Oryzias latipes: one gene and its partners. The main gene of each other region encodes a partner of the protein of the gene in region 3 in a complex. Links are inferred from orthologs where the notes say so. Each region holds a gene or a part of one and is shown on either strand. Other genes may lie near its edges.

Region 1 (4,109 bases), on a different chromosome or scaffold from region 3:
TCAACAGCAAATTTGAATGACTGCTCTTGAGGGTGCTTTTTAAAATTCATATGTTCAGACAGGTATGCTAGAGTAAACAGTGACACCGACATCATGTGTGCCCAATCAATCAGAAGATATAAGTGTAGAATTTGTTGAAAATTGTAAAGACCCCAAATTCCCACTTTTGGAATATGGAATGACGTCCAGCAGCAGGGTAATGGTACATACGCTTGTTCTCTCTCCAAATGTTTGGCCTCAGATACAGTCAATGTGTCTGTTTTTGGAGGAAGTCATCTTACACATTATTTATGTTGAAAAATAAAAATCGGTCTTTACCACAATAAGTCTGTTCAATAAACAAGGTCAAAGAAATTTAATTTACACTACTGGACAAATTTTATCCCGCAAAACATTATCTAAATTTAGAGTTGACTTAAACAACAGCTGTACTTTCTGACAGAAAAATCCTGAAACATGTTCTCATTTATTTTGGTCATGTGAATTTACTGACACATTCTGGAAAAAGAGCCACAAATTCATTACTGACTCTGTTTTTGCTGATTTTTAACTTTATTATAAAAACGTGATTTTTGGTTTTAAACAATTTAATCACAAAGATAGTGGTTCTTTCTTTTTTCTAACTGTGATTCTATTTCTGGAAAAATTTCAAAATCTCAAAGGTAAATTTTCTAATGAAGTACCTTAACTTTTCTTGCTTTTCTTACTGAAAATGGAACTCCAGCAATAAAATGTATTCAATAAAACTAATCTAGTTCCATTGTGGTTTTTTTTTCCTTTCTCTTTGTGGATTTTTTCTTTTGATATACTTTGATGCTAATTTTATAAAATGTTTTTGTTTTCAACAGAAGCTAAAAACGTAAATAATAATAATAACTTCTATTTTGGAGTTGTGTTATGTTCTTACATTGTACTTTTATAGTGTTATATTTTTGTACTGTATTCTTCCAGCATTCAATAAAAAAAAATTAAAAATAAAAAAATAAAAAAAAGATGAGAAAAAAGGCAGATTGTTTGCTAAGTTTGTCAAATCTTCCTATTTGAAGAGAGTCCTAATTTTTTTTAATCATGTTTTTCTTTAATTACTTTATATAGAGAGAGGCGGGGACATGTTAATAGCGTATTTAGTTAGTTTGACAAACGAAAAATTCATTTATGTTAAAATATCTAAAAAGTGGAACTGTGACAGGAATGTGTTTCTGCACGAGCCACTTTTTCAGGAGGTACTTTGGCTTGTTCTTTGATTGGCTGAAAGAAAAAGATTACGCAGATGTGATTGGCTTTCCATCGTCCGGAAGAAAGATGAAAGACTGAATGTGATTGGCTAGAAGGAACAATTCTGAATGGTGGCTGATTTAGCCCGATCAGTTTACAATGTGCTTTTTGTGTAGTTACGACTTAAAAAACTAAATAGTTATTTAAATGTTTTTCTTCTAAAATGGCTACCTTAGTTTTGGATAATGGCGCGTACACGGCGAAGATCGGTTACAGTCTGGAGAAAGTCAGGTGAGGTTACTTTGTTTTAGCAAGGCTAACTTCACAGATGACGATGATGCTTTCAATCAATATTGCGTTTTTTTTTATTTCCCGAAAGATTAAAACCTCATTCCACTGGAAAACGTTTGTTTGTTGCACTGTGACATAAAGTCATGGGACTGAGTGTAGGGGGGTAATAGCAGTAAGCTATAAACGTTACAACAGAGATTTACCCTCGAACGAATCGAATGCGGCAAAATTGCTTTTCTTGTCAGGCAAACACATTATGACTTTTACTTTGGTAAATCAAAGAACAATTTTGCAAAAATGGACATAGGAAAACAAAAGGTTTTTTTTTCCAAGTTCTTTTTGGTACTCAAACCTTAGACTTAGAATACTCCAAATATTTTGTCTGTTACAGGTACTATTAGGTTACAGGTTCCCCTGTTTCTATTATTGGCAACAGTTTTTGTTTGTTTATGCATTTGTGATCTGAGTTTGTGCTAATCTGGTAGCAGAATCTTCAGATCCTAAGATACTTTTATTGTTCGCAAACAAAAGTATTGTGAGGATGTTGTGAAAATATTCTATGTAATAAAAAAAATCTAGCTTTGCATGTGAACACAAACTTAACTTTGTTAGGAAGGGAAACTGTCAATATTTGTGTCGTGATGTTTAGTCTCCGTTATGTTTTTGTCTACTGAATTTCATCTACAAAAGTCTTTGTTTTCTCCATTCTTCTGATTGAACCAGTAGAAGATTTAGTGACACTTTTTTACCCTTTTTCTTCAGATGTGGGAAGTTTATTTAGGTTTTTTTTCACGTTTTTATGCCAGATCTCTAGCATTTGTGTGGGTTGAAGATCTTACTGGATGTGACGTTTTTACATTTTGTTTTTTCCAATTTAACTTGGTTTCTGTCTTTATTTTTCTTCAGCGTGATTCCCAACTGTCAGTTTCGCTCAAAGAATTCCCGGCTAAAAACGTTCACGGCGAATCAGCTGGATGAGATCAAAGATCCGTCGGGTCTCTTTTACATCCTCCCCTTTCAGAAGGTGAGGTTGCCTCTGCAGGTCCAGTGCAGGTTGGGTAACAGTTTCTTACTAGGTGCTCATGTCTGTGCAGGGTTACCTGGTCAACTGGGATGTTCAGAGGAAGGTGTGGGATCACCTTTTTGGAAAGGAGATGTTTAAGGTGCACTTGTCCGTTTTTGTATGTTAGTCATGCATGTAGTTAAGTAGGCTCTTCCAGCTGCTGACTATGAGTTCCTTGTGTAGGTTGACTTTGCAGACACCAGCATCATCATCACAGAGCCATACTTCAACTTCACCTCCATCCAGGAGTCCATGAATGAGATCCTCTTTGAAGAATACCAGTTTCAGTCTGCTCTTCGAATCAATGGTGAGTTCATCAAATGACCAGAATATCAAACAAGCGCATTTAAAAAGAGTTTATAGGAATATGTTTATCTCAAAGAGTCATTTTTATGTAGGAAAAATAGGTTTTGACAGGGAATTTAAAAAACGTTAAGAAGAGAGCATTTTAAAAGTTTGAGCAAAGTTTTAACACAGGTTTTGAAGAATCACGCAGATAAATACTAAAAGATCATTAAGTAAGAACAAGCATCCTCTTTGACTTACAAAAAAAGATTTCCTCCTGGTTTCAAAATAAAAGCAGACATTTTCATTCTGTGGTCCAAAAACGACCACAGTGGCTGCAATGATGTCTCACATGAATTGTGCTGTTAACTCGATGCTCAGACAAAATCAAGGTTAGAATATGGAGTCGTTTTGCTCTAATGAAAGAACAGAGATTTGACATTTACTGCCTTTGTTCTCCTCCAGGTGGCTCTCTGAGCGCTCATCACTGCTTCCACTCCAAACCGTCTGAGCTCTGCTGCCTGGTGGTGGACTCTGGGTTCTCCTTCACACACATCGCCCCCTACTGCCGCAGCAAGAAACTGAATCATGGCATCCGCAGGTAAGACTGTGCTGTCTTATGGCCCTTATGACCGTGAGAATACCAACTGTAAACACTTTTGTGTTTCAGAATCAATGTTGGGGGAAAACTGCTCACCAATCACTTAAAAGAAATCATCTCCTATCGGTGGGTTTGTGTCTGCAGCTTTACGTTTATCAAATAAGTTACTGAATAATTCTTTGCAACGACTTCTCCAGCCAGCTGCACGTGATGGATGAAACTCATGTGATCAACCAGGTGAAGGAGGACGTCTGCTACGTCTCACAGCAGTTTTACAAAGACATGGAGATCGCGCAGTAAGACAGATGCACGTCTATTGTTGCTGGTCCACCTGTGTGATGTTAAACGTGTCTCAGAGACATTCACCAGACTTTTTAAAGAAAAGGAGAACCCTTTCACATTTACTGTGTTTGCAGACTGAGAGGTGAGGACAACGATTTGATGAGAGACTATGTTCTTCCTGACTTCAGCGCCATCAAAAAAGGCTTTTGCAAGGTGAGATGCTCTCATCTCCTCTCCTTTGTGACATAACGGGCATTCAAAATGAAAAATAACCCAAAAGAATATCCATTATATTAATATTTAAACTGTTGCATTGGTTTTCTCTGGGCACTCCGGCTTCCTCCCAGTCCAAAAACATGCTTCAGATGTTTA
Region 2 (3,018 bases), on a different chromosome or scaffold from region 3:
ATGCCTCCTGAAAAGAGTATAGCAATGCTAGCCTGGCCACTGCTAAGAGGTAAATTATCTTTTGCCACAAAAGGCAACGAATGAACTCGTCGCCTCACCGCCTCACTCAGGACACCAATTAGACGGTTCACAACTTCAGTTTTCTCCTTGCTGATTAGAAACTCCTCTAGATTTCCTCCAGACACCTGTGAACTGGGATTAACTTCAACCTTTTTTTCTGGAATGGACATATTCAAAGGACAAACAGGTGAAGTGATTGATAAACCTGCTCGATTTATCTCAAAATTGCACCCACTAGGGACAGAGTTAACCATCATTTCACTCAATGATGGGTTTATGACATTTCTTGCCCAGGGAAAAAGCTCAAAGGACACAGAACCACTCTGTGCAGCTGCCTTTACATCAACCTTAAACACGCCAACAGCTGGGACTTCTTTCCAATCAGACTGACCCAGCGCAGAAATCCCAGCTGCCACTGAGGTCAAAGTGAAGACACTGATCTCGGCGTCATATTTCCACAGCAAGCTGCGCCTTCCAAAAAGGTCTCTCCCAAACCAGAGATAATCTTCAGCCTTTTGATAGAAAACAAATGCCCAAGGCCCTTGAATGGCAGACAGAAGTGCCAGAACCTCCAAAGAGTTTTTACAAGATGACAATTTCTGACAGATGACAGTGGTGTCATTCTCTTCTGGCATCACAGAAATCCCTCCAAAAACCTCTCCATTCCACATCAAGACATTTCCAGCGTCGTCTTGAAACGGCTGAAGAGTAAGGAGGCCTCTCATATGGAGAACATGGGCAGAAAATGAGCAGTGATAGCTCAAATCTACAGCAGGAAACGATAGCTCCCTGCTAGAGTTGGGGCCCCTTCTCTTCAGAAATTCATAAATTCTTTTGTCCTTCTCAAATTGAGCAGCTGACAAAGTCAACTGGAAAAAGATTCCACACATTGTTGCAGCTCTAAATATCCTGCAGTTCTTTTTTCAAGTAATCCAGTTCCTCTGCAAGAATAAAAATAAAAAAAGTTTTAAAAAAAAAAAGGTGAGTTATATTGTAGTATGGTACAACATTGTAAAAATTTCAATGCAAGAGGATAAATGAATACTAACACATACTTCTGCTTGTAGACAATGTTTGACTTCTGTCAGCCAGGAAGAAAATGTTGCTGTTTCTCTGTTGGATGTAAACTTTCTGAAGAAAAGAAAAAAAAAATCAATAAAAAATGAATTTATTACGACGGATGGATGGATTTATGGATGGATGGATGTAAAAAGGTAATTACCGTACCCTGTTCTTCTTTAGGTTAGAGAGTTCATCCACAACGACCTTTTGCTCTTTGATCTGGAAATTAGCAACAAGTTAACGTTAACAACCCTATGATGATGAAGCCATCAGGAGATGTATCCCATCATGTTAAGTTTTAATTTAAAGATCAGCAGTCCTTCATTTTTCCAGCAAACATGAGAAAATCGAAACTTATTAAAACAGTAAATACATACTATTGGTGCGTAAATACTAACAAAAGTATTGCTATTCGTTTTTCCGTTCTACTATACATGCTGAAAAAGGTGAATAAACATATCCGTGTTGTTTAGCCAGCTAACAGTAGCGCGTCTTTGATATAAAGTTACCTTTTTACTGAGTTCCTCTTTATATGTGGTTTGCTCTTGGGAATTATCGCTGTTATTGTATTTTTTTGAAGACATTTTCATAAAGGAGCCACGAGGGAAAACTTTTTATCTAATTTTTCTCTTAACAGCGTCTACTTCTGCGACAAACATGTCCGGATATGCGTCATAACCGTTCCGGGTGAAGAAATAGGTGGGGAGTTCGAAGCACACTGCCGCCTAGAGGCCAGATTTGTAAAACACCCGCTACACATCTCAGGGTCCGGGGCCTGCCAAATTATAGGTAACCAAGGGGTAAACACAGATTGAATAAGAATGTCTTTAAATAACAGATTTGATGTAATTTACTTTCTTAAGACTAAAAAAATAGTATTGGGCTACTACAAAAAAGTTTTTTAAACGGAATTGGGTTAAAATTTAATCAGCTAAGCAAGTTCGAGACAGAAGAAGTTAGACTTTTCTGTTTCTACCCGGTTTTAATTTTCATTTAAAGTGACACTTCCATATAAGAAAAAAGCAACAAAAAGAAACACTGATTAAATAAAATCAATTAAGCATAAATTAAATAATGAATCCATTGCACATCTGATATGTTGATCATTTTTGATCAGTTTTCAAAACCACCTGAAGCTATTAAGTAGTCTTTAAAAACACCCAATTAACTGTCTGTGTCTTGTTCCTTTTTTTCTTTTCCTTTTTTTTCTGACATCAGAGCCTCTGAAAGCTGCACCTTTGTTAACCCTACCCTTTACTTTAACCCCAGAAACACTTCTTAAAATATTGCTTTTGGGGGGAAATACACCTCCAGCCAATTGTTGCTAGGCTGGAACAGTATCTCTAGTTAAAAAAGTATTTTTTCATTGTTTACTTGTAAAACTAAACTAAAGTAGTGGCTGAAGACAAACCAACCTGCCTTGTCTTAAGATAATTTAGCTTTTTTATATTTTAGTTATAATATGACATGCTTTCATCTGCTGATGTTGAATCATCAAATTAAAAATAACACATGCAAGTGCATTTTTTCGGGGACTAAAGCTTTTTGTTGACTTGATCTGTCTGTAGACGAACAGATGCTTAACCCCCTTTAAAAGCAGTTTCAACCTAACCCCCACCTCCCTGCTCAAAGATCACACAACCAAAAAAAAATGAATGTTGAAATACCTGCTGAACTCTGCAGCTTATTTCAACCTTGTCTTTGCCTTTTTTCTTTTGAAGTCTCTCAGCATTTAAATAGCTTTTGCATACCTCATAGTTGTTTTGTTTTTTTTACTCTTCAGTTTGAGTCAAAACTGTGCCATGAAGCTCCTAAGATGGAGAGAAAGCTAAAATAGTATTTTTCCTTATTTATGCTGCTGGTGATCTATTATTATTGAAAAAAATAAAGTTTGCA
Region 3 (3,963 bases):
TCAATCAATCAATCAATCAATCAATCAATCAATCAATCAATCAATCATATAACAGAACAGCCTTTGCCACCATTGCATACTGTCTGAATGCCTCGGAGGGCTTGGGAATGTTGGACCTTGAGCCCCTGACCCTTCATGATGCTCAGTCCATCCATGATCTTCCACAGGTTTACGTTACCTCCGATAATTGTTCGGATCAGAGAGGCGTGGCCTGGACAGTCCACCAGGGTAAACTGCAGACTGTCGTACGGCTTCAGGCCCCCGCCGTCCCGCAGGTGATCCGGACAATCCACCGTGAAGGAGGAGAAGCCGAGGTCTAACGTGATGCCTCTCTCCCGGGACTGTGGGTTCTTGTCGAAAGCAGCCGTGGAGGCGGTGCTGCTCAGCGCTCTGGCCAGCGACGTCTTCCCGCTGTCGACATGTCCGAGGACCCCCACGTTGAAATTTAACGTTTTCGTGCGGCTGTCATGAGACTCGGACATCCTCTCGAAGTTTCCGAGCACGAACGTTTTCCTACCTTGAAACCTGAGCACCGCGTTGATAGTTATTTGGAAAAAAAATAACGTTCACTGCGTTAGTTGGTCAAATCAACAAGTCATTTTCGGTGCCTAAAGTGTCCCTAAAAAACTGCAGAGTTTATGGTGCTTACACTTTATTTCGTCCCCGATTACAAGACGAACCGGAACGTTTATATGCGGGGAACAAACCAAAATAAGAAAAATGTGATATTTAAATATTACAATTTAATAAAAAAATATAACACAGAAATATATTTCTATGTATAAAATAAATATTTTAAATTATCGATCAATTAGTGTTTTTTATACTGAGGCCTTTTTTGTGTGTTTCTATTACAACAAAATAAAACGAAGCACAGGAGGAAACAGGGGTGTGGTTTCAACTTTGATTGACAGAACATTGACTAATCAGAAATGCTCTTATCATGAGGAAAACCAATGGTTTTCAGACTAGTTAAAATGGGCGGTACCTCAGGGGTGTCGATTCCTGCTTTTTTCCCCTGGTAACCCACATGGAAACCGTGTTTTGACTTTTGGCGCCTCATGTAGTGGTCAGAGAAACGCAGACACTTAGGTGACATTTTTTAAACTTTACTTTGCGGCTTGGACAGTATTATAGCCAGTGCTCCTGTAACACTTGCAAATATGAAAATCGAGGAGGTAAAAAGCACCACAAAGACCCAGCGAATAGCTTCACACAGTCACGTCAAGGGACTCGGGCTAGACGAGGCCGGCAATGCTAAACAGACAGCATGCGGACTGGTCGGACAGGAGGCTGCCAGAGAGGTGATGTTAATCATCTTTTTTCTGTTTCAATTGTATTTTATTTTCCTTCAGACATTACTTGCACATAAGTTCCTATGAGAACACGGTAGCAAATTGCTAACCCCTGATGCTAACTGAGTTAGCACAGCTGCGTAGTTTTCTTCTCAGATAACCTGCGAGACTCCTCCTTAGTTAAATTAACACACAGTTTCCAAAGTAGCGATTTATTTTTTTTATTTCATTTAATATATTTCTTAAATTAAATTTAAAAAAATGAATTGAAATCTCTTGATTATATTTCCATCATACAGGTACAATTTTTATTTTATTGGGAAAGAAAAACGAAATGTGAAACTCAAACTAAGGTATATTTCTTATTACACATTTGTAAGTCGACAAAGAATCTACATCAAAACCGTCATAAAGTCAAATGTGATCTGTAGATTATTTAATTTTATTTATTGGATGGAACTAACAGCACTGACAGTTATTTCTTTATAATGGAAAATTGTTGGAACCATAATAAACAGTCATCATATTATTTTTTTTGTGTTTTTTGTTTGCTATTGTTACATTATGGCTGCTAAATAATTAAAAATGCAAAGAAAACTCTAATACATTATATAGATCGCAGTGTATTTTCTAGACTCTAAAGTGGAACAAGGCAGGATAATCGCCTCTAAAACACGTTTTATTTTATTTTTATTTGATGAAGAAGTTCATAACAGGATTTTCAACTTAATTTCATGATGTATTACTTCAGTTTTTAATTTCATTCCATTCTAAAAGCAGTATTGGGTGGATGTTAAAATATGTTTTTACATGCGTCGGAGGTTTCAACTGACCGATTGCACTTAAACACTGTTTTGAATTCTTACCTAAGAATCATCCTATTATAAGGAAAATTAAAATCAACACTGCACTGGCAAAGTTAAAAAAATAAACGATAATAATAATAATTTCCGTTTGTGTTTTTACCTACCCAAACAAGATTGTCTGTGCTGGTTTTAAAGGGCCAGTATCATGGTATTCTTAAGCCTTTTTTAGGGGGGGGGGGGTCCTGTGGTAGCATATTCTGTGAACTTGAGTGGGCGGTGGGGAGGGGGGGGCGACGACGACATTATATGGGATTTCTACCGAATATTAATGTAACGTCTTGCTTTAAATTTTTAAAATTTGAACATGTTTTTGTGTAAAGCACTTTGAGGGGCTCTAGAGGGAAAAGTGCTACACTAATAAAGTTTGATTTGATTTGATACGACGTTGAAATGACATTTATAAATCTCAGTTTGAGTCCTGCAAAAATGTATATCACCAAAACAATATCAATGTATCTGATAATACATCCTGTGGCACACAAAAGAACAAATCGACCTGCAACTTTCACGTTTCTGTTTATTAGTCTTACTCAACATCGTAGTTATAAAGACAGTTTTCCTTTTTCCTCATTGTTATACTTTAAACTAGGCCTGCACAATATACCGCAAATTTATCGTTATCGCAATATCCAGCTCTGCAATATGCATATCGCAAAAGACGGCGAATATCGCAATAAATCGCAAGCCCAAAATGTGTTAAAACAATCTTCTAGCAGCTTGAAGCATTTAACGAATCAAATAAATCCCTTTATGCTTTGACCAATCAGATGGACGCCTTCCCATTGTTGACCAATCAGATGGAGGCCTATTATGTTAACCCTGGTCCTGAAGAGCCTCAACCCTGCCTGTTTTCCAGCTCTCCTTAACCAGCTTGCTGTTGATTGGCTGACTCAAGTGATTTCACATCCTGATTGACTGAACACACCTGATTTTGGTTATCATTATCGAGCAGTCTAGGGAGAACTGGAAAACAGACAGGGTTGAGGCTCTTGAGGACCAGGGTTAGCCACCCTGACGTTTGTCCCCCATGTCGATGAGGGTCATTTGGAGTATAATTTTTAAACTGTTGCAATGAAATGGGAATGATGTTTTTGTTTATTTTTCTATTTGTTTATTTACCGCAAATTTATCGTTATCGCAATATTGATCACTAATATCGCATATCGCAAGTTTTCCTCATATCGTGCAGCCCTACTTTAAATGTTGTATTTCTCTTTGGTTTCTCTACCCTTTAGGCTTGTGGCATTATTGTTGAGCTGATCCAGGCCAAAAAGATGGCAGGAAGGGCCATTTTACTGGCAGGACCCCCTGGAACAGGAAAGGTAAAGCATCAGTGAAGATGCCGGCGGACTCTAACGCTCGTCCTTCATGCAGACTCTTACTGTGACGCCGTGTGTCTTCTGCCTTTAGACGGCCCTGGCTTTGGCCATCGCTCAGGAGCTGGGGAACAAGGTTCCGTTTTGCCCCATGGTGGGCAGTGAGGTCTACTCGTCTGAGATAAAGAAAACAGAAGTATTGATGGAGAATTTCAGGAGGGCAATTGGTGAGTGTAATCGATCCATTTATCCAACAGGAACCATGGCAACCAAGCCAGATAGTTTTGGAATTATATCCATGAAGACATAGGGTTTGTTAAAGCAGAGAAAAAACGTTTTTTCACAACTTTGCAGCGTTTGAAATAAGCAGTTATCCTGTTGTCAGAGACAACCAGATTTCCCGGAGGACAACCCCAAATGAACACGATGGTTGTCCGTGTGACAACCTGGTCTTTTATTCAACATTTTTGGGAAACCGACGTCCGA
Region 4 (2,712 bases), on a different chromosome or scaffold from region 3:
GATTGTAAGCAGGAGTCGGTCTAACATTCATTTCAGAGCATAAACATTTATCTTAAGATAAAGATAAGAATTTTTGACTAATTTGATTTTTAAAAAAATCAAGTTTTACATCTTGAATATGGTTGGGGATGGAACAACAGCAAACAAAAACTCTGGTTTTTGCTACTAAAGTTTCCATTAAGGTTTGCAGTGGAAGAAGAAGAAGCCCCTCCCTGCTGGTCCAGTGTGAACACTATGGGCTAAACATCCAGACCAACAAACCTTTGCAGTCTGAATACACCCTTGAGTTGACAGTGTGAGGCACTGTAAGCTAGAGGCAGAGCTCTCAGTAACATGGAGGGGAAGGGGGGTTGGGCTTGCCCCAAACCAACAGTCTTGTCAACAACTCAGAGGTGAATTTCTAATGAATCTTCTGCTGCTCTGCAGAAACTAGGTCCTAGAAAATGACACAGGTTTTAGATTTCGGTAAAATGGCAGAATCAGAATTAAAAGACTTTAAAAATAGATAAAAAAATCTTTAATGAACAAGTCAGATCTAAGAGGATAAATAACAGTTTAACTTAGGACAGCAGAACTTTGATCTTTGTCCAGGAACCCCACCATCCAGGCTCAGATTGTTCTGCGAGGCACATTTGGTCCATGTTCTGTCTGGCCCCGCCTCACACCGTGTTGAGCTTGGTGACGATGAGCACACGCACAGACTGGTCGAACGCCGAGCACACGCACAGACCCTGCTTGTCGGGGCTCCAGTCCAGGCTGGTGATCGGCTGCGTGGACAGGGTGACGTTCTGCAGGAGGCTGAGCGAGCCGGCCACGCCCCCTGCCACACCCTCACAGTCCTTCTCGCTCCTTTGAGCTGGATACTCACTAAGTGGAACATTTTCAAGTAAATAATCAAACTGCTAGAACAGGAAAGTACATTTCTGGAAAGCAAACATTTTTGAAGACTTACTATTTCCACAGATGCAGATTTCCCGACCCGCCTGTTGTCATGAAGACGTCTCTGCTCTGAGGTAAATGTCTGACCTGCCAGATGGTTGATTTATGAGCCTAAAACCACAGAGATGCACTTCAGTCTCAGCACCTTTCCCTCACTCCGGCGGCGGTTTGTCTCTTTAAACATCAAATTGAACTCAAGGTTGATCCGCTCTGTTGTTTCTTAAGGCCTGTTCACACCGGTGTAGGTACCGGATGTTCTCGGGTTGCCGGATGTTCTCGGGGTCCTTCAGGGTCCTTCCAATGAGTTATATCACTAGAGGAGACATCACGTGGTTCCTCATAGGAGGAGAGCACCGCCATCTTGGTGAGGTCAAGTTTTGAAGACCAAACCACTTTTATAACATTTAATAAAGAGCTCTGTTTTTGCTTTCAATCACTTCATTATATGAAAAAGAAGAATGGCTTGAAATTGCTTAGTTTTGTTCAGAAATACAAACTTCACGAGTACCCCTAACTTAACTAGTATTAGACTGCTTAGATTTTTTTCTATGTTCCTTTATTTTATTTTACTTATGTTTTTATTTATTTGTGTGTAATGTTGATTGTTTCTTTTTTTCCCCTCTATTCTTTATTTTCTATGTCAATATGTTATATTTGGCAATGGTGACTGATCTTCGAGGCAATATTGATTACATCGTTATTGTTCGTTGTTAACGTTAATGTCATTTTTTTTTTTATTATTATTTTTTTTTTTTTTATTGATGCAGAACAAAAGTGACATACAGCAAAAGAACAAGGAACAATAAGCTGTACATCAAATGTTCAAAATAAACGCCAGGGGATATACAAGCAAAAAAATAAACTTACACTAAATTATACAGCTGAGCAAGGTGATACGTTTTTGTTAATGTATGATACCCCAATTGTCAATAAAGTTTTTAAAAAAACTTAGCGACGTTAACTCATTGGTCGTGGCAACTTACAGCCAATCAAATAGTGTGACGTCATCATTGGTCGAAGGACCCCGAAGGACCCCGAGAACATCCGGCAACCCGAGAACATCCGGTACCCACACCGGGACGAATTTCGCCGGCGATTTTCGCCGACGTTTAACGCCTCGTGACTAAACAAAGGGCACCAACGAGAGTGTGCACACCAACGCGAAAAAACGCCAGGCGTTGAAGCGTCAAAAAAAAAAAACGCCTTGGGTTCGTTTTTTTTTTCGACGCGTTGCGTCGAAATCTACTCGACCAATGAGAATTGCGCTTTTGCTCACGTGTCTGGAGCTTCTGAAGTTACAGTAAAACACAACTTGGGGGCGCTCAAACACAAAACTGCCTTGCTGAGCACACATACCAGCGAAGAAGATAGACGCCAAGTAGCGTCTACACACAGCCGCGAAGCAATAATGACGGACATTCTAAAATATCCCCGAACCAAGCACCAGTTGGAGCTAATGGTGCTTGAAATATTCATGTTTTCTTTGTATTATTCTGACAAGCGCGTAAATACTTGCTCTCTTCTTCTGAGTGAAAAGCGACTTTCAGAAGCGTAAAGTTGCGCAGCGCCACCTTGTGTACAGGAGTATTTCTGTTTTACATTAAGCGCCATCTAATGTCAGGGAATGAAATTGCATGTTCACTCCACTCATCGTCAGCGAAAATCGCCTGGGTGTGAACACAAAAAACGTGGCGAAAAACGCCTGGCGAATATTCGTCCTGGTGTGTACGGGCCTTTAATCTTTGACTGGGAACATGTCGGAAACATCCTAAT
Region 5 (4,252 bases), on a different chromosome or scaffold from region 3:
GAAAATACAACCCTGATTTTATAAAGTTCGGCTTTGTGAACGGAGGCAGTGAGGCAGAGCCCAGTGTGTTGAGTGTGGGCTAACATTATCCAATGAAGCACTAAAACCGTCAAAATTAAAGCACCATCTGGAAACCAAACATCCGAAGCTCATTGGAAAGCCAGTGGATTATTTCAAAAGAAAGGATGATGGGCTTCAGATGCAGAGGGGGTCCATCGTGTCACTGACTGGCGACGCTAAGTGTGCGTTAAAGGCCAGCTACCTCGTAGCCAGACGTGTGGCGCAGAGTAAGAAAGCGTTCACCATAGCGGAGGAACTGGTTCTGCCTGCCGCTGTGGACATGTGCCGTGAGATGATTGGTGAGGCTGCAGCAAAGAAGCTCAAGACCATCCCGCTGTCGAATGACATTGTGAGTCACCATATTGCTGACAGGGCCTCAGACATTGAGCAGCAGCTTCTGGGGAGAATAAGACAGAGCCCCTTTTTCTCTTTGCAGCTGGACCAGTCGACTGACGTCACAAATGCTGCGCTGCTGTTGGTTTTTGTTCGCTACCGGTGGGATAGCTCTTTGCAAGAAGACATTCTGTTTTGTGGAGAATTTCCAACTCGAGCTACAGCTGAGGAATGTTTCCGCTGCATGGATAACTACTTCACTGAGAATGGCCTTGACTGGCAGAACGGTGTTGGAGTGTGCTGTGATGGCGCAGCGTCAATGACTGGCAGGCATCGCGGTGTCATCAAGCAGATACTTGATCTTGCGCCAGAAGCTAAATGGACCCATTGTTTTCTCCACCGTGAAAACCTTGCAGCAAAAAAAATGTCTCCAGAGTTCCATGAGGTGATGGATGTCACTGTGAAAACCATCAACTTCATTCAAAGTAATGCTGTGAACTCCAGATGTTTTGCTCAACTTTGTGAGGGCATGGAAGCAGATCATGTCCAAGGCAAGGCAAGGCAAGTTTATTTGTATAGCACAATTCGTACACAAAGTAATTCAAGGTGCTTCACAAAACAGAAAAATGCATTAAAATCACAATACATCATAGAAATAATCAACATAAAATTTACTTTAAAAGAAAAGGAAGAAAAAAAAAAGATTTAAAAAGAAAGGAAGGAAAGAAAGGTGCAGATAGGCAAAACATAGATCGGTGATTTCCTTATGAAGTGATTTTTGGTTTATAGCAGCGTTTCTGTCCTGATATTTTCATCACAGACAAACAGACCCGTTGCTTAAGGTCTCAGCAGCTAAATAATCTCAGGCCAAGCCCACCTTCTGTTTATAATATTAGCGAAAATCTTAAGTAAAACATCTTTATTTGGTGCAAAGTCCAAAAGTATGCAAGTTAAACTACTATTCCCATGATGCATTTCCTTTAACAACAGGAAAAACCGCGCCCTCATTGTTGAACCAATCCGAAAGCCGCGTACGTCACGCAGGCGCAGTCTGACCTCATTTTTTTTCCAGTGTTTTTGTCAGCGAGGCAGCGCCATATTGGAAGAAGCCGTTTCTGTCCTAAAACGGCCAAAGCGCGAACTTTGCCACCATGCTGTACCTAGAAGATTACCTTGAGAGTGAGTACCGGACCGGGGCGTCGCGGCGGTACCGACTTCGGCCCGTTATGTGTGCACAGTGTGTGTCTATGTGTGGCCGCCGCGTGCATTTCCGTTAGCCTAGCTGCAGCGGATGCTAACGTGTTTTTCCTTTTCCGGCAGTGATCGAGCAGCTTCCCATGGACCTCCGCGATAGGTTCACGGAAATGCGGGAGATGGACCTGCAGGTGCAGAGTACGTATTTCCGCCAACCACCGGGCTCGGCTGGGACATCTGCCGCGGCACGGAGACTCGAACCGCCAGCGAGCGGTTAAAAAAGGCCAGATTACCGGAGCTAACACACCTGACATGTCCGTGAACCCGGTGACACCTCAGTCACGTCAACGGAACTTATCAACCTTTCAGCTCGTTTAATAATTCACTAAGTGAGGTTTTGTAGAGCTGCGTGCGCCACTTTACGCATATGTGGCTGAGATTCTGAAGCCCCTCCCCTTTTTGTCAGGCGGTCATGGTGATCAAAGCACATCCCTTCATTATCCGCCGCCTTTCATGTTGACGTCATGACCGCAGCTGCTGTTCAAACTTTTATCACATCAGTATTTGTTAGTTGAGGCACATTCAGTCACTCATTTATCGTTATCCTGATATCAAGCTGTGATAAATGTAACTTTAAATGTGCTCAAACAATCTTATGGCAGCTTGAAGGATTTAAGGAATCACATAAATCCATTAATGCATTTGACCAACCAGATGGAGCCCTTTGATGTAGGGGGGGGGGGGGGGGCATTCGGAGTGTAATTTAACGTACACTTTAAATTTAATTGAAGCTGTTGCAGTGAAATGGAAATGATCTATTTAGATAGTTTGCTATATGCATCACAACTTATATGGTCATTGCAATATTCATCAGTAATGTTGGAAATGGCGAGTTTTGCTCATCTCGTGCAGCCCTAGTTCAGTTGTAAAGTCCTCCAGGGTCATCTGTGACCCCTAGCTGTTGGAGGGTCAGAGTTAGGTGGACTGACCCCCCCCCCCCCAGTCTCAGATCTGACCTCTGATGCAGTTGCAGGTGGAAGAACTTTGGAGACAGTAAGAGAGTTCTTCTAGGTTCCTGTCTGATCCAGAACCAGCACCAGAAAGCTGATGTCATGTGCTTTAGTTCTTTCCCGCCTCTTTGTTTCAGACGCCACAGACCAGCTGGAGCAGAGGGTCATTGATTTCTTCATCAATGCAAAGAAGAACAAACCTGAGTGGAGAGAGGAGCAAATGGAGGTTATCAAGAAGGTCTGGAATCTGCTGCTGGTTCTGGAGGAACCCGAAGGAACCTGTCAGATCTAGATTCTGTTTCTGGTGTGTTTCAGGATTATTACAAGGCCCTGGAGGACGCAGATGAGAAAGTACAGCTGGCCAATCAGATTTATGATCTGGTGAGTGGAACCGTCTGCCGCTCTGACCGGATGGTCTCTGACCTCCTGCACAGTGACGGTCCAGCTGGGTTTGCCGGATCGCCTGGAGGTTCCACCGTAGCAGGACGGAGTTCCCTGACAGTTTTGTCTGTCCCTAACACCACTGGGGAGGAGCTTTCCTCCCTCATCACCAACAGACGCCCCGCAGCAGCTGGACCGGGTCTACCTGCTGCACCGCGTCCAGAAGCTCATGTGACCTGTTGTCTCCTCTGCCTCCAGGTGGACCGGCACCTGCGGAAACTGGACCAGGAGCTGGCCAAGTTCAAAATGGAGCTGGAGGCAGACAATGCCGGCATCACAGAGATCCTGGAGAGACGTGAGTTCGATTCCAGAGCGACTCGTTGGGGCTGAAAGGCAGAGCGGTGACCTTGTGCTCTTCTCAGGGTCACTGGAGATGGACAGTCCCTCCCAGCCGGTCAACAACCATCACATGCACTCGCACATAACAGCCGAGAGTAAGCTGCTGCACGCCCTCAGCTCCGCCTCGTGATGTCAGGACCTCTGCAGCAGGTTCACGTGTCACCGTGTCCTCTGTCCACAGAGAGGAAGTGCAGCGCCCCCGCCCACCACACGGTGGAGCACATTCCTGAGAAGAAGTTCAAGTCTGAGGCTCTGCTGTCTACACTCACCTCGGATCCGTCCAAGGAGAACACGCCAGGTAGCATCTGCAGATAACAGCCATGCAGCTGGAGGGCGGAGCCTCCACGCAGCTAACTGCCCCCCCCCCCTCCTGCCCCCTAGGTTGCCGCACCAACAGCATGTCTGCATCCACCAACAGCGCCTACAGCCTCAACTCCTCTCAGCCCCTGGCTTCCTACAACCTGAGCGCTCTGCCCGCAGGACCCGGGGCCGGCGCCGGCGCCATCACCTTGGCGGCGGCGCAGGCCGTACAGGCCACAGCCCAGGTCAGAACCCGACCCCCATCCTAAAATCGTGCATGTCGGCCCCGCTGGTGGCGCTCCATCCCCCGTCTGTTCCGTCCCATCAGATGAAGGAAGGCCGCCGGACCTCCAGCCTCAAAGCCAGCTACGAGGCCATCAAGAACAACGACTTCCAGCTGGGCCGAGAGTTCTCCGTGTCCCGGGACGGCTCCTACTCCTCCTCCGCCCTGGCCTCCACCCTCACCCAGACGCTCACTCCCAGCACCACCTCTGACTCCAGAGGTCGGAAGTCAAAGTAAGTTACCCCCGTCCCACCGCAGGTGTCTCGGACCCGTCTGACCTCTAGTCCCTGTT
Region 6 (4,215 bases), on a different chromosome or scaffold from region 3:
GGGTCCTGGACCGGATGTGATGCTCAGAGACGGACTCTACATCCTGAGAACCATCTTCTGGTTCTCCAGACCAGGTTCTCATCCGGAGCATCGTTCTTCTTCAAACCTGGGAACAGTTCTGGTTCCTGAAGCTTCCGCTGAACAGAACTTTGTTCTGCATATCAGAGATGAAAGAGGTTCTCTGAAGGCAGTCCACTCCTCACCTGCCAGCCGCCTGAAGACCCCAAAGCGGGGGCTCTCTGCCAGCTCCCTGAAGTTCTCCTGGTCTCCCTGACCTTCCTGCAGGTCACGCAGAGCCTCCATCGTGGACTGAGCGGTCAGACTGAGCCCCCATTCTGTAAATATGAGACCGGTTTGTCCTTCTCACCTCCTCAGAACCTGCATGAAGAGTCCCGAAGCTCCACCCAGACAGGAAGTCTGAAGATGATGTAGTGACATCACTTCCTGTTGAACTACAACAATTTACTGTTAAATTGTTACAGTTTATTTATTGATGTCATTTCGGAACCAGAAGATCTCCACTGAGCATGCTCAGTTCCTTTTTAACTCCCTCAACGCTCTCTTGATGATCACCTTTTATCTAACTCCTCCCCATGAGTCATGACTCCTCCCCATGAGTCATGACTCCTCCCCATGAGTCATGACTCCTCCCCATTAGTCGTGACTCCTCCCCATGAGTTATGACTCCTCCCCATGAGTCATGACTCCTCCCCATTATTCGTGACTCCTCCCCATGAGTCATGACTCCTCCCCATGAGTCATGACTCCTCCCCATTATTCGTGACTCCTCCCCATGAGTTATGACTCCTCCCCATGAGTCATGACTCCTCCTCTCACATCTTTCTGGATGGTCTGAGCATTTGCGGTTCTGTTGGACCTGCACTGATGGTGTTGAAGTTTTCTGTCTCTCCTCATTGCTCTGGTTGGATTGGCCTTCGCTCAGAGCAGCCGGGTCCGACCAGAACCAAACCCTGAGTTTGCTGTTATTTATTTCTGGCTGTGATTTCAGGTGTACATGTTTGTTTTTTAAGAAAACAGAATAAAACGACTGTTCTGAAACTGAACTGGATCTGTTTATCCAGCCAACCAGAACCGGAGCAGGTGGCGGTCCGATTCATGATGTTTTAAGACAGCAATCCCCTCAAAGGTGATTGATGTTCTCCTGATGAGTTCACGTTCTGCTCTGTAGAATAGGAAATCCCAGATTGATCTCGTGTTTGGGATCCTCTGGTTTCTTAGATCAGCCTGTTTCTACAGAAAGGGGAGGAGCCTAAACATTTTAAAAAAGGGTCTATCTTCGCATTCTCATTGGTCAGTCCTGACGTTCAGACCAATCGCGGTCAAGAGTATTCAGTCGTACGCTGTGGGGGCGGAGCTTCAGACCGAACCAATCAGATCCCACGTGGATCCGGAGCCTTTGAAATGCGTGAGGAGGCGTGTTCGCGACAGAGGACTGAGCCGCGCGTGCGCGCCATCTCTTTTGTTTTGCTACTTTCTGTGCTCCTGCTTCATCATGGAGATGAAGAAGAGGATCAGCCTCGAGCTCCGAAACCGAAGTCCCACCGAGGTGCGTGAGAATCCCGCAGCCGCTCCTGTTTTCTGCGTTAGCGGTAAAGACGCGCGCGCGTGTTCCGTCGTCTTAGCGCGAGCTACACCCGCGCGGCTCTAGTAGCGGAGCTCTGTTTCCCGCCCGCTCCACGTGCGGGTTTCCTGTGTTCCGTGGAGAAGCCTCGAGGCAGCTCCAGCTAGCTAGCTAATGTGGAGAAAGAGCCGCGAGCCGGTTTGGGTCTGTTTCGGTCGGGTTCCGTTGACTGTGTGCAGCGGGGCGACTTCCCGCCGTAGGATGATCGCGGTTCCGATGACAGTGGTGATCCTGACGAACCGCAGTTCTGCTGAAATGCTTCGGCGCCGTTTTAGCTTGAAGCTCCAGCTCGGTGAGTCTGTTCGGACCACTTTCAATGCGCATGCGCAGTCCAGTCTCGGAGCTGGATTTTTTCGATGCACGGCTGGCTGTTGGGGACCCGGGTGGGTTCGGTCCATTTCAAACAGCCTTCTGGCGGAATATCGGGCAGACGTGAGCTGAACCTCAGCCACGGTCCGAGACCAGGACGCGGGGAATGGACGGTACCGGTGGTCCTCGGTCCGTCTGCCTTCATTCTTAAGCCGTGCAGAGGTCAGGTTCGAAATGGGAGGTCAGGTTCGGAATGGGGAGCACCAACACAGATTAGCTTCTATAGGTACCACTCATTTATGGGACTTACTTTACTATACATATTCTATATTGTGGTAAACATGAGTTCACATACAGAACCCTACAAACATCTGGGCTCTATGGACCTAAACACTGCAGTTGTTCCAAAGGTCCAGAGCTCGGTTCTGGTCCAGACCTGTTGCCTGTCATCAAACGTCTGCAGTTTCGCTAACGGCCTGCAGGGGGCGCGGGAACGCCGAGGCCGTCTGGTTTCCATCATGGTGACGTATGAAAGCGTCATGGTGGTAAAACTGCTGGTGTCACGTGACTGCGGACGGCGGGCGGATGAAAAGGAAGAATAAATATTCATCCAATCAGCTGTGGCGCTGTGGATGGAGCTCTGGGGAAGTGCTGCACATCTGATTGGCTACCATGATGGCATGGCGTTAAAACTCCAAACACGCCTGGTGGAGCGTTTCCACATACGTCTAGGCTCTGAAGCTCTCTGGAGCAGACACTAAGGGGATTGTGAAATCCACCAGGACCGGTTCTGGACCAGAGCCCGGCTGGTAGACGAGGCCTCCTGTCCTCAGAGTGAAGCGGCCGCTCTGCGGCGCCGAAGGTGGGGTGTTGGCTGCAGGTCTGCTCAGCTGCCGTCTGCTTCCAGGTGGGGGAGCTGGTGGTGGACAACTGCCGCTCCAGCGACGGCGAGGTGGAAGGTCTGTCAGAGGAGTTCACGGAGCTGGAGGTCCTCAGCATGGTGAACGTGGGCCTCAGCTCGCTGTCCAAGATGCCCCTGCTGCCCAAACTGCAGAAGGTGAGGAGACGTGGTCATGACCGCAGCCTCAGGAGGTCTGACCTTCCTCCCAAACGTCTAAACTGAATGAAGGACGTTGACCTCAGAATGATGCAAACCAAATGGTTCCAGGTTCAGGTTGGTCTGAACCGCTCAGCCTTCCCGCCTTTTACAGCAGAACTGAGACCCGACTGCTGTGTTTCAGCTGGAGGTCAGTGAGAACTCCATCGGTGGGGGGCTGAACACGCTGGTGGAGAAGTGTCCTGGCCTGACCCACCTCAACCTCAGCAGCAACAAGCTGAAGGAGCTGAGCAGCCTGGAGCCGCTGGTAAGTGGCGCCTTCCTCTGGTCCTCCCAGGAGGTCCGCTGCTCACGGCGATGTCATGTGACCTGCAGCAGAGCCTGAAGGCCCTGAAGAGTCTGGACCTGTACGGCTGCGACGTGTCCTCTCTGGACGACTACAGGGAGCGCGTCTTCCAGCTGCTGCCACAGCTCACCTACCTGGACGGGTTCGACCAGGAGGACAACGAGGCGTCCGACAACGGTGAGGCGCCATCCGTCACAGTCTGAAGGTCGAGGAACCCGCTCTGCTGGTTCTTCAGAATAATCATGAAGGTCTAAGACAAACCTAAAGTTCTTGTTTGGTTCCGTCTGAACTCACCTGATCCGTTTCCTGTCAACACACTGGTTCTTTTCTAGATGAGGAGGAGGAGGCAGGTCCTCCCGGAGATGATGATGAGGAGGACGAAGATGATGAAGAGCACGGCTCTGAAGAAGAGGAAGTGGGGCTTTCCTACCTGATGAAGGACGGCATCCAGGTGTGCCACTGATCCAGATGGGGAGGGGGAGGGGGGGGGCTCCTTGTGACTGAGCGCAGTCAGCAGCTTCCTGTTTCTGTTGAAGGACGAAGACGATGATGGAGATTATGTTGAGGAGGAAGAGGACGAAGAGGATGAAGATGAGGATGGAGGTGAGTCTGTTCTCCTCCCTCACATGGACAGACCCTCCTGAAGTGATGAGGGGGGGTCTGGTTGAGAACCCGGTTCTCCTGGACCTGTAGGCTGACGCCACAGGTCAAAGCAGAGGAGGAAAGAGGCTCCGCCTTTTCTGCAGAGATGACATCATTCTGTTGAACTACAAATGAAGGAGGATGGACTACAGACACGTCACTTCCTGCTGCGTCATGCTAACACCTGTTTGCAGAAAAAGGTTCAGATCTCCTGCTGTT
Region 7 (4,281 bases), on a different chromosome or scaffold from region 3:
TTCCAAAGCAGGTAGAACTTCTTTCACCGTCCTCTCTACCAAAACCCCTCCAACCAGGCGATAGCATTTCCTAGAAGGGTCCACTTCCTTAAGAGTTTCAATAACTAAACTGAACACAAAAAGAAAAAAACATTAAAATTATTACTCTTTTACCACTTACCAGTTATGTGACGAGGTGAGTTACAAGATGTTTTTCTTTTTTAAGTTTAATGTATATAAAGTAAAAAGGTCAATTTAACTACAGACCAACATGATCCAATTAGCTGTCCTGCTAACAATCAAACATAAAAAGTGAGTATTATAAAAGCTCTCAGAGGAGAAGTCATCAGCTGCTAACCTGTGCTCATTGATGTCCATCTCCAGCTCTGCAGCTTTAGACGCCATGCTGCGTTGTTCCTGACGCATCCTCTGAAAGGTGGCAACCACCTGAAAACATCACCGCAAAGCTGGCATCAATGCAGACCAATGACATTTGACGCATCCGTCTGATCCCAACACAAGCATGTAAGCTGTTTCAGACTGAGGGGCTTTCAGGCTGAATAAACTTACCAAACCTTAAAAGGAAATTGTGACTTTAGAGAGTTTTTTTTTTTACCCAGTCCCTTTTGATCCAGTCCGCTTAATTTGTTCCGGACCGAGTTCCGAACCTTGCGTTAGGCCTTTATCAGACTGGCGTTAAGCGCCCCATTCTGTTAGCGACCAAAGCTTATAAACAAAACAATGTGACTAAAGATCTCTTCAGTCATTGGCCAGGAACTACGAGGGCAGATCAAAACAAGAGAAATGTGGACGTGTGCCGCTTAACAGTTAAATTATTAAAATTTTATATTTTTTTCGATTATCAGTTTTGAACGTCGGGAACAAGCCTTTTTATTTGTTACTTTGGTACGGCAAAGGCATGCTGCGAAGCGGTCAGTGGCAAGGAGACGTGCTGTGTGTGCTTTAACTCAGAGCATGCTAGTAACTGCATTGATGACGAGACGTCGGGTATGAGTAGGCTGCCACGCTCTCTCCTCTCTGAGGGGCAACCGCATGGTTGCGATAAAGAGCCCTGGAGTTTGGCCTGAATAGAGCCGTCACCACAAATATTAATCAAATCGGTGACTTCGCTTCCCTTCCACTGACTGGTCTCAGCAGCATCGTCCGCCATTGGTTGATGTTTATGTTCTTGTTCCCGCCTACTTCAACGAAAAATGATGATGTTTGCAGCGTATCAATGACGTACGGGTCGGATTCATGTGGCCTGGACGTTCAGACGGAGGTCGCATTTGAAATGATCGGATACATATCGGATTCAGGACCACATACGCAAGTGGCCTGGGTCGCATTTGAAAAGATCGGATCTGTGTCGTTCAGACTGTCATGAAAAGATCAGATACAGGTCGCATAGGGGCAAAAAACAATCAGAATTGTGTCATTTCAGCCTGCAGTGAGATACAATGTGTTTCCCATTAAAAATGATTTTAATTAGCCTGCATTCATCTGACCACATTTCAATGAGTTGCTGTGTCTCATCATTGTGGTTTTAGGGCATTGTTTTTAGAGAATTCTGTTAAGGAAACTATAATATAGCTTTTAGTCATGCCACAGGCGAATGCCGCGTAACAAGATACAGAAAAGCATGCAAGTAGCCTTTTCAGCAATGTTAAAATAAACGTTCTAACAAATAAACACTTGAACTCTTTTTTTCTGTTTGATAACACGATAATAATTGCTTATTTGTCCGCGGCTCATCTGTAGCCACATTCCTACTCTGTTTATGTCAGCTATGGTGGCCATTTAGGTTCAGTGGTATTCAGATTGAGGAATCTTAGAGCGAACCCGAGCTCAATCTGATTGGAAATTAACCAAGACCACCTGCAAAGATGGGTCAAGGTCCCAGACCTTAAAGTGAACTCTGGTTCAATTTAAGCAGACCAAATGCATAACCTTCTCCATGTTAATGATTTCAAATTGTTTTACTTTTTTTATATATAATGTATGTACCATTTTTTTTAGCTTTACTTTCTTTTTTCAATCAAGAGCAATTTATAACTTAGAATATGACTTCCTAATATGACTTAATTCACAGTATTCTTTGAACCTGTATGAAAATATTTAATTTTGACCCCAAAATTTTTTGAAGTTCATATGTATTTTTAATGTTATTTTTCAACAAACATCGAATAAAGATTAATACATTTCAACATTTGCCATTTTTATGCTAATTTGTTCCTATAGTGTGTCTACATGTTATTGTCTATCACTAAGACGTCGCTTTATACTAATAATTTGGCAACGTGTTGAAACAGTTTTTTTCTTATATGAAAGGCTTCCGTAGCCCTTGAGCTGTGCATAGTTGTTGACTGTCTGAGTAGTAAAAATAGCATCATCATGCTCTGTCAGACCCATTCTGAGGGCCACACCACCCACATACAGAATGGTGTACCTTTAGTTTATCTTTGACGTTATCCCATTCCATGATGTGCAAATAGCACAAATTGGACCTAATTTCATGCTCACAATTTCTTTCCCCTCGCATGGGTCTGACTGCAAGACACTTCTGTGGCCACGGGGAAGCTAACGTTAGCGCTGACTGGCTGTACGTCGGTTTAGTTACTTTCTGCTGAATATATACGAATAATATGTCACAATCTCAGGAGTACCGAGACAAAAGACTCCGCTACTCAATAGGATACCTGTTCGGCTGACTGCGCGGGCTGTTTTCCAGCCGCGCTGCTGCTCGATTTGCTGAACGTGCTGCTGTTGGCTGCCATCTTGATAGAGTGCACTTGAAGGACCCGACCCATGTGAAAGTTTTTTTTCACAGGCAGAGGCAGTCTCATGACTGCCTGTGTAAAAATACATCTCTAAATTCCTTTACCACTCACTACACAGTGCACTATACAGTGCGTTCGCAATTTTGTAATGCTGTCCGAATCTACAATTTCAAAATCCAGTTCCTAAGAAATTTCTCGGAAGTCTCTGCAAATTAACCAGTGTGCATCGACGCTCATTAAATTGGCCAACATAGATCAATGACAATGCATTGCGTTTTGAACATTTTTTGCGAAAACAATGTGTTGAAATGCTTTTTTTTAAACAATCAATATTTTTTTTATTTCAAGTACGCAATGAATTAATAAATAGTTGTTGTAAATTGCTTGTATTTACGACGGAGTATGTATTGATCAGATTTTCACTTCGTGAAATCGGTAACGTTATATTTCCCGTTTTAAAAAAAGAAAAAAAATAGTGAGGATGGTGTCCTAATTGCTTTTAAAACCCACGACACTATATCGTTTTTAGTAGTTGGTGATTAGGTTGGAAATTCGGACACAGCACTAAGATCAAATTGATCCTTTTTTTTAAAATGGGAAACAAGTTAAATTTCTATCTGCCCCCCACAACTGTAAGTAAGTAAGTAAGTAAGTAAGTAAGTAAGTAAGTAAGTAAGTAAGTAAGTAAGTAAGTAAGTAAGTAAGTAAGTAAGTAAATAAGTAAATAAGTAAATAAGTAAATAAGTAAATAAGTAAATAAGTAAGTAAGTAAGTAAGTAAGTGGGTAAGTTAGTAAGTAAGTAAGTAAGTAAGTAAAGGCTTATTTGATCAGCTAACAATTGATTTCTACCACGGGGTTTCACTAGATTGTGCATTGGCCAATTAGAAACTAAAATGCATTATTATTATTATTATTTTGCACATGTTTTACCATAAAATCCAAGTAGAGTACACAAGTGTAACATGTAAACATTTTCCCTCGAACAAATCAAAGGATAAAACAGTTTAACTTCTTTTAACAGAATAATCAGCCTGACATGCTACAATGACATAAAATTTAAAGAAAGAAAGGCATTTCTAATTTTAAAAAGTTTCTGCTAATTAGAAATGATCATTTCAAAAGCTTTGGGTAGTCTAACTGTTTTATTTATTTATTTTTTCATTTTCAGCTAAAATGTTCAACTTTTTCCTGTAGAGACCAAATGTATATCACTTCGCTGCATAACAATTTGACCCTATGTGATTGTTGCCACAGTGTGATAGCAAACAGCTTCTGGTATAATATTAACCAACCTTTTCTGTATGTATTTTTAAAAAAAGTCTTTCATTTAAAAATAAAATGAAATACCAAAAACTTTTTTTAAATATCTCTATATATTGTTGTATTTCAAACACTTGTGATTTTTCTCTTTACTTCTTACAATACTTCATATCGTAAATAGATTATTTTTTAATGAATCGTGTCATTTATTTATTCTAAATCGATTCTTCCTTCGTGTAAGGAAGCAGTGCACAGATATGT

What was found.
Region 1: the proteins of ruvbl1 (region 3) and actr6 are in contact, whole or in part, in a cryo-EM structure (PDB 6IGM), measured with the Homo sapiens proteins. The link is inferred for Oryzias latipes from reciprocal best matches to the Homo sapiens genes RUVBL1 and ACTR6. Residues at the interface, in NP_003698.1 of Homo sapiens: Lys162, Thr163, Ala164, Lys165, Gly166, Thr167, Tyr209; in NP_071941.1 of Homo sapiens: Tyr217, Tyr300, Arg338, Cys339, Leu340, Thr341, Pro342, Thr343.
Region 2: ruvbl1 (region 3) and ASNSD1 upstream open reading frame protein share a complex: the UniProt entries of both Homo sapiens proteins name them as parts of the PAQosome complex. The link is inferred for Oryzias latipes from reciprocal best matches to the Homo sapiens genes RUVBL1 and ASDURF.
Region 4: ruvbl1 (region 3) and wdr92 share a complex: the UniProt entries of both Homo sapiens proteins name them as parts of the PAQosome complex. The link is inferred for Oryzias latipes from reciprocal best matches to the Homo sapiens genes RUVBL1 and DNAAF10.
Region 5: ruvbl1 (region 3) and ing3 share a complex: the UniProt entries of both Homo sapiens proteins name them as parts of the SWR1-like complex. The link is inferred for Oryzias latipes from reciprocal best matches to the Homo sapiens genes RUVBL1 and ING3.
Region 6: ruvbl1 (region 3) and acidic leucine-rich nuclear phosphoprotein 32 family member E share a complex: the UniProt entries of both Homo sapiens proteins name them as parts of the SWR1-like complex. The link is inferred for Oryzias latipes from reciprocal best matches to the Homo sapiens genes RUVBL1 and ANP32E.
Region 7: ruvbl1 (region 3) and pfdn2 share a complex: the UniProt entries of both Homo sapiens proteins name them as parts of the PAQosome complex. The link is inferred for Oryzias latipes from reciprocal best matches to the Homo sapiens genes RUVBL1 and PFDN2.

The regions. Positions count from the first base shown.
Region 1 is NC_019864.2:26,969,165-26,973,273, forward strand, and holds the start of actr6 (actin-related protein 6), read left to right. Parts: upstream 1-1,309; 5' UTR 1,310-1,438; coding exon 1,439-1,506; intron 1,507-2,412; coding exon 2,413-2,530; intron 2,531-2,600; coding exon 2,601-2,669; intron 2,670-2,752; coding exon 2,753-2,876; intron 2,877-3,319; coding exon 3,320-3,455; intron 3,456-3,524; coding exon 3,525-3,581; intron 3,582-3,652; coding exon 3,653-3,751; intron 3,752-3,871; coding exon 3,872-3,950; intron 3,951-4,109. UniProt on the Homo sapiens protein: Required for formation and/or maintenance of proper nucleolar structure and function. Plays a dual role in the regulation of ribosomal DNA (rDNA) transcription.
Region 2 is NC_019879.2:16,672,442-16,675,459, reverse strand, and holds ASNSD1 upstream open reading frame protein, read right to left. Parts: upstream 1,792-3,018; 5' UTR 1,713-1,791; coding exon 1,632-1,712; intron 1,342-1,631; coding exon 1,288-1,341; intron 1,192-1,287; coding exon 1,116-1,191; intron 1,002-1,115; coding exon 961-1,001; 3' UTR 951-960; downstream 1-950. Other genes in the region: asnsd1 (asparagine synthetase domain-containing protein 1), read right to left, coding at 1-950.
Region 3 is NC_019863.2:3,775,511-3,779,473, forward strand, and holds the start of ruvbl1 (ruvB-like 1), read left to right. Parts: upstream 1-1,163; coding exon 1,164-1,304; intron 1,305-3,396; coding exon 3,397-3,483; intron 3,484-3,571; coding exon 3,572-3,704; intron 3,705-3,963. Other genes in the region: eefsec (selenocysteine-specific elongation factor), read right to left, coding at 179-482. UniProt on the Homo sapiens protein: Possesses single-stranded DNA-stimulated ATPase and ATP-dependent DNA helicase (3' to 5') activity; hexamerization is thought to be critical for ATP hydrolysis and adjacent subunits in the ring-like structure contribute to the ATPase activity.
Region 4 is NC_019873.2:11,208,720-11,211,431, reverse strand, and holds the end of wdr92 (WD repeat-containing protein 92), read right to left. Parts: intron 1,051-2,712; coding exon 953-1,050; intron 868-952; coding exon 660-867; 3' UTR 501-659; downstream 1-500. UniProt on the Homo sapiens protein: Key assembly factor specifically required for the stability of axonemal dynein heavy chains in cytoplasm.
Region 5 is NC_019881.2:24,132,965-24,137,216, forward strand, and holds the start of ing3 (inhibitor of growth protein 3), read left to right. Parts: upstream 1-1,452; 5' UTR 1,453-1,544; coding exon 1,545-1,572; exon of another isoform or gene 1,573-1,629; coding exon of another isoform or gene 1,630-1,630; intron 1,631-1,713; coding exon 1,714-1,785; intron 1,786-2,734; coding exon 2,735-2,835; intron 2,836-2,912; coding exon 2,913-2,978; intron 2,979-3,236; coding exon 3,237-3,333; intron 3,334-3,400; coding exon 3,401-3,472; intron 3,473-3,558; coding exon 3,559-3,675; intron 3,676-3,758; coding exon 3,759-3,922; intron 3,923-4,005; coding exon 4,006-4,193; intron 4,194-4,252. UniProt on the Homo sapiens protein: Component of the NuA4 histone acetyltransferase (HAT) complex which is involved in transcriptional activation of select genes principally by acetylation of nucleosomal histones H4 and H2A.
Region 6 is NC_019874.2:32,438,066-32,442,280, forward strand, and holds the start of acidic leucine-rich nuclear phosphoprotein 32 family member E, read left to right. Parts: upstream 1-1,415; 5' UTR 1,416-1,513; coding exon 1,514-1,567; intron 1,568-2,858; coding exon 2,859-3,008; intron 3,009-3,192; coding exon 3,193-3,315; intron 3,316-3,383; coding exon 3,384-3,531; intron 3,532-3,686; coding exon 3,687-3,805; intron 3,806-3,890; coding exon 3,891-3,957; intron 3,958-4,215. UniProt on the Homo sapiens protein: Histone chaperone that specifically mediates the genome-wide removal of histone H2A.Z/H2AZ1 from the nucleosome: removes H2A.Z/H2AZ1 from its normal sites of deposition, especially from enhancer and insulator regions.
Region 7 is NC_019876.2:18,973,611-18,977,891, reverse strand, and holds the start of pfdn2 (prefoldin subunit 2), read right to left. Parts: upstream 2,801-4,281; 5' UTR 2,790-2,800; coding exon 2,679-2,789; intron 427-2,678; coding exon 338-426; intron 110-337; coding exon 1-109. UniProt on the Homo sapiens protein: Binds specifically to cytosolic chaperonin (c-CPN) and transfers target proteins to it. Binds to nascent polypeptide chain and promotes folding in an environment in which there are many competing pathways for nonnative proteins.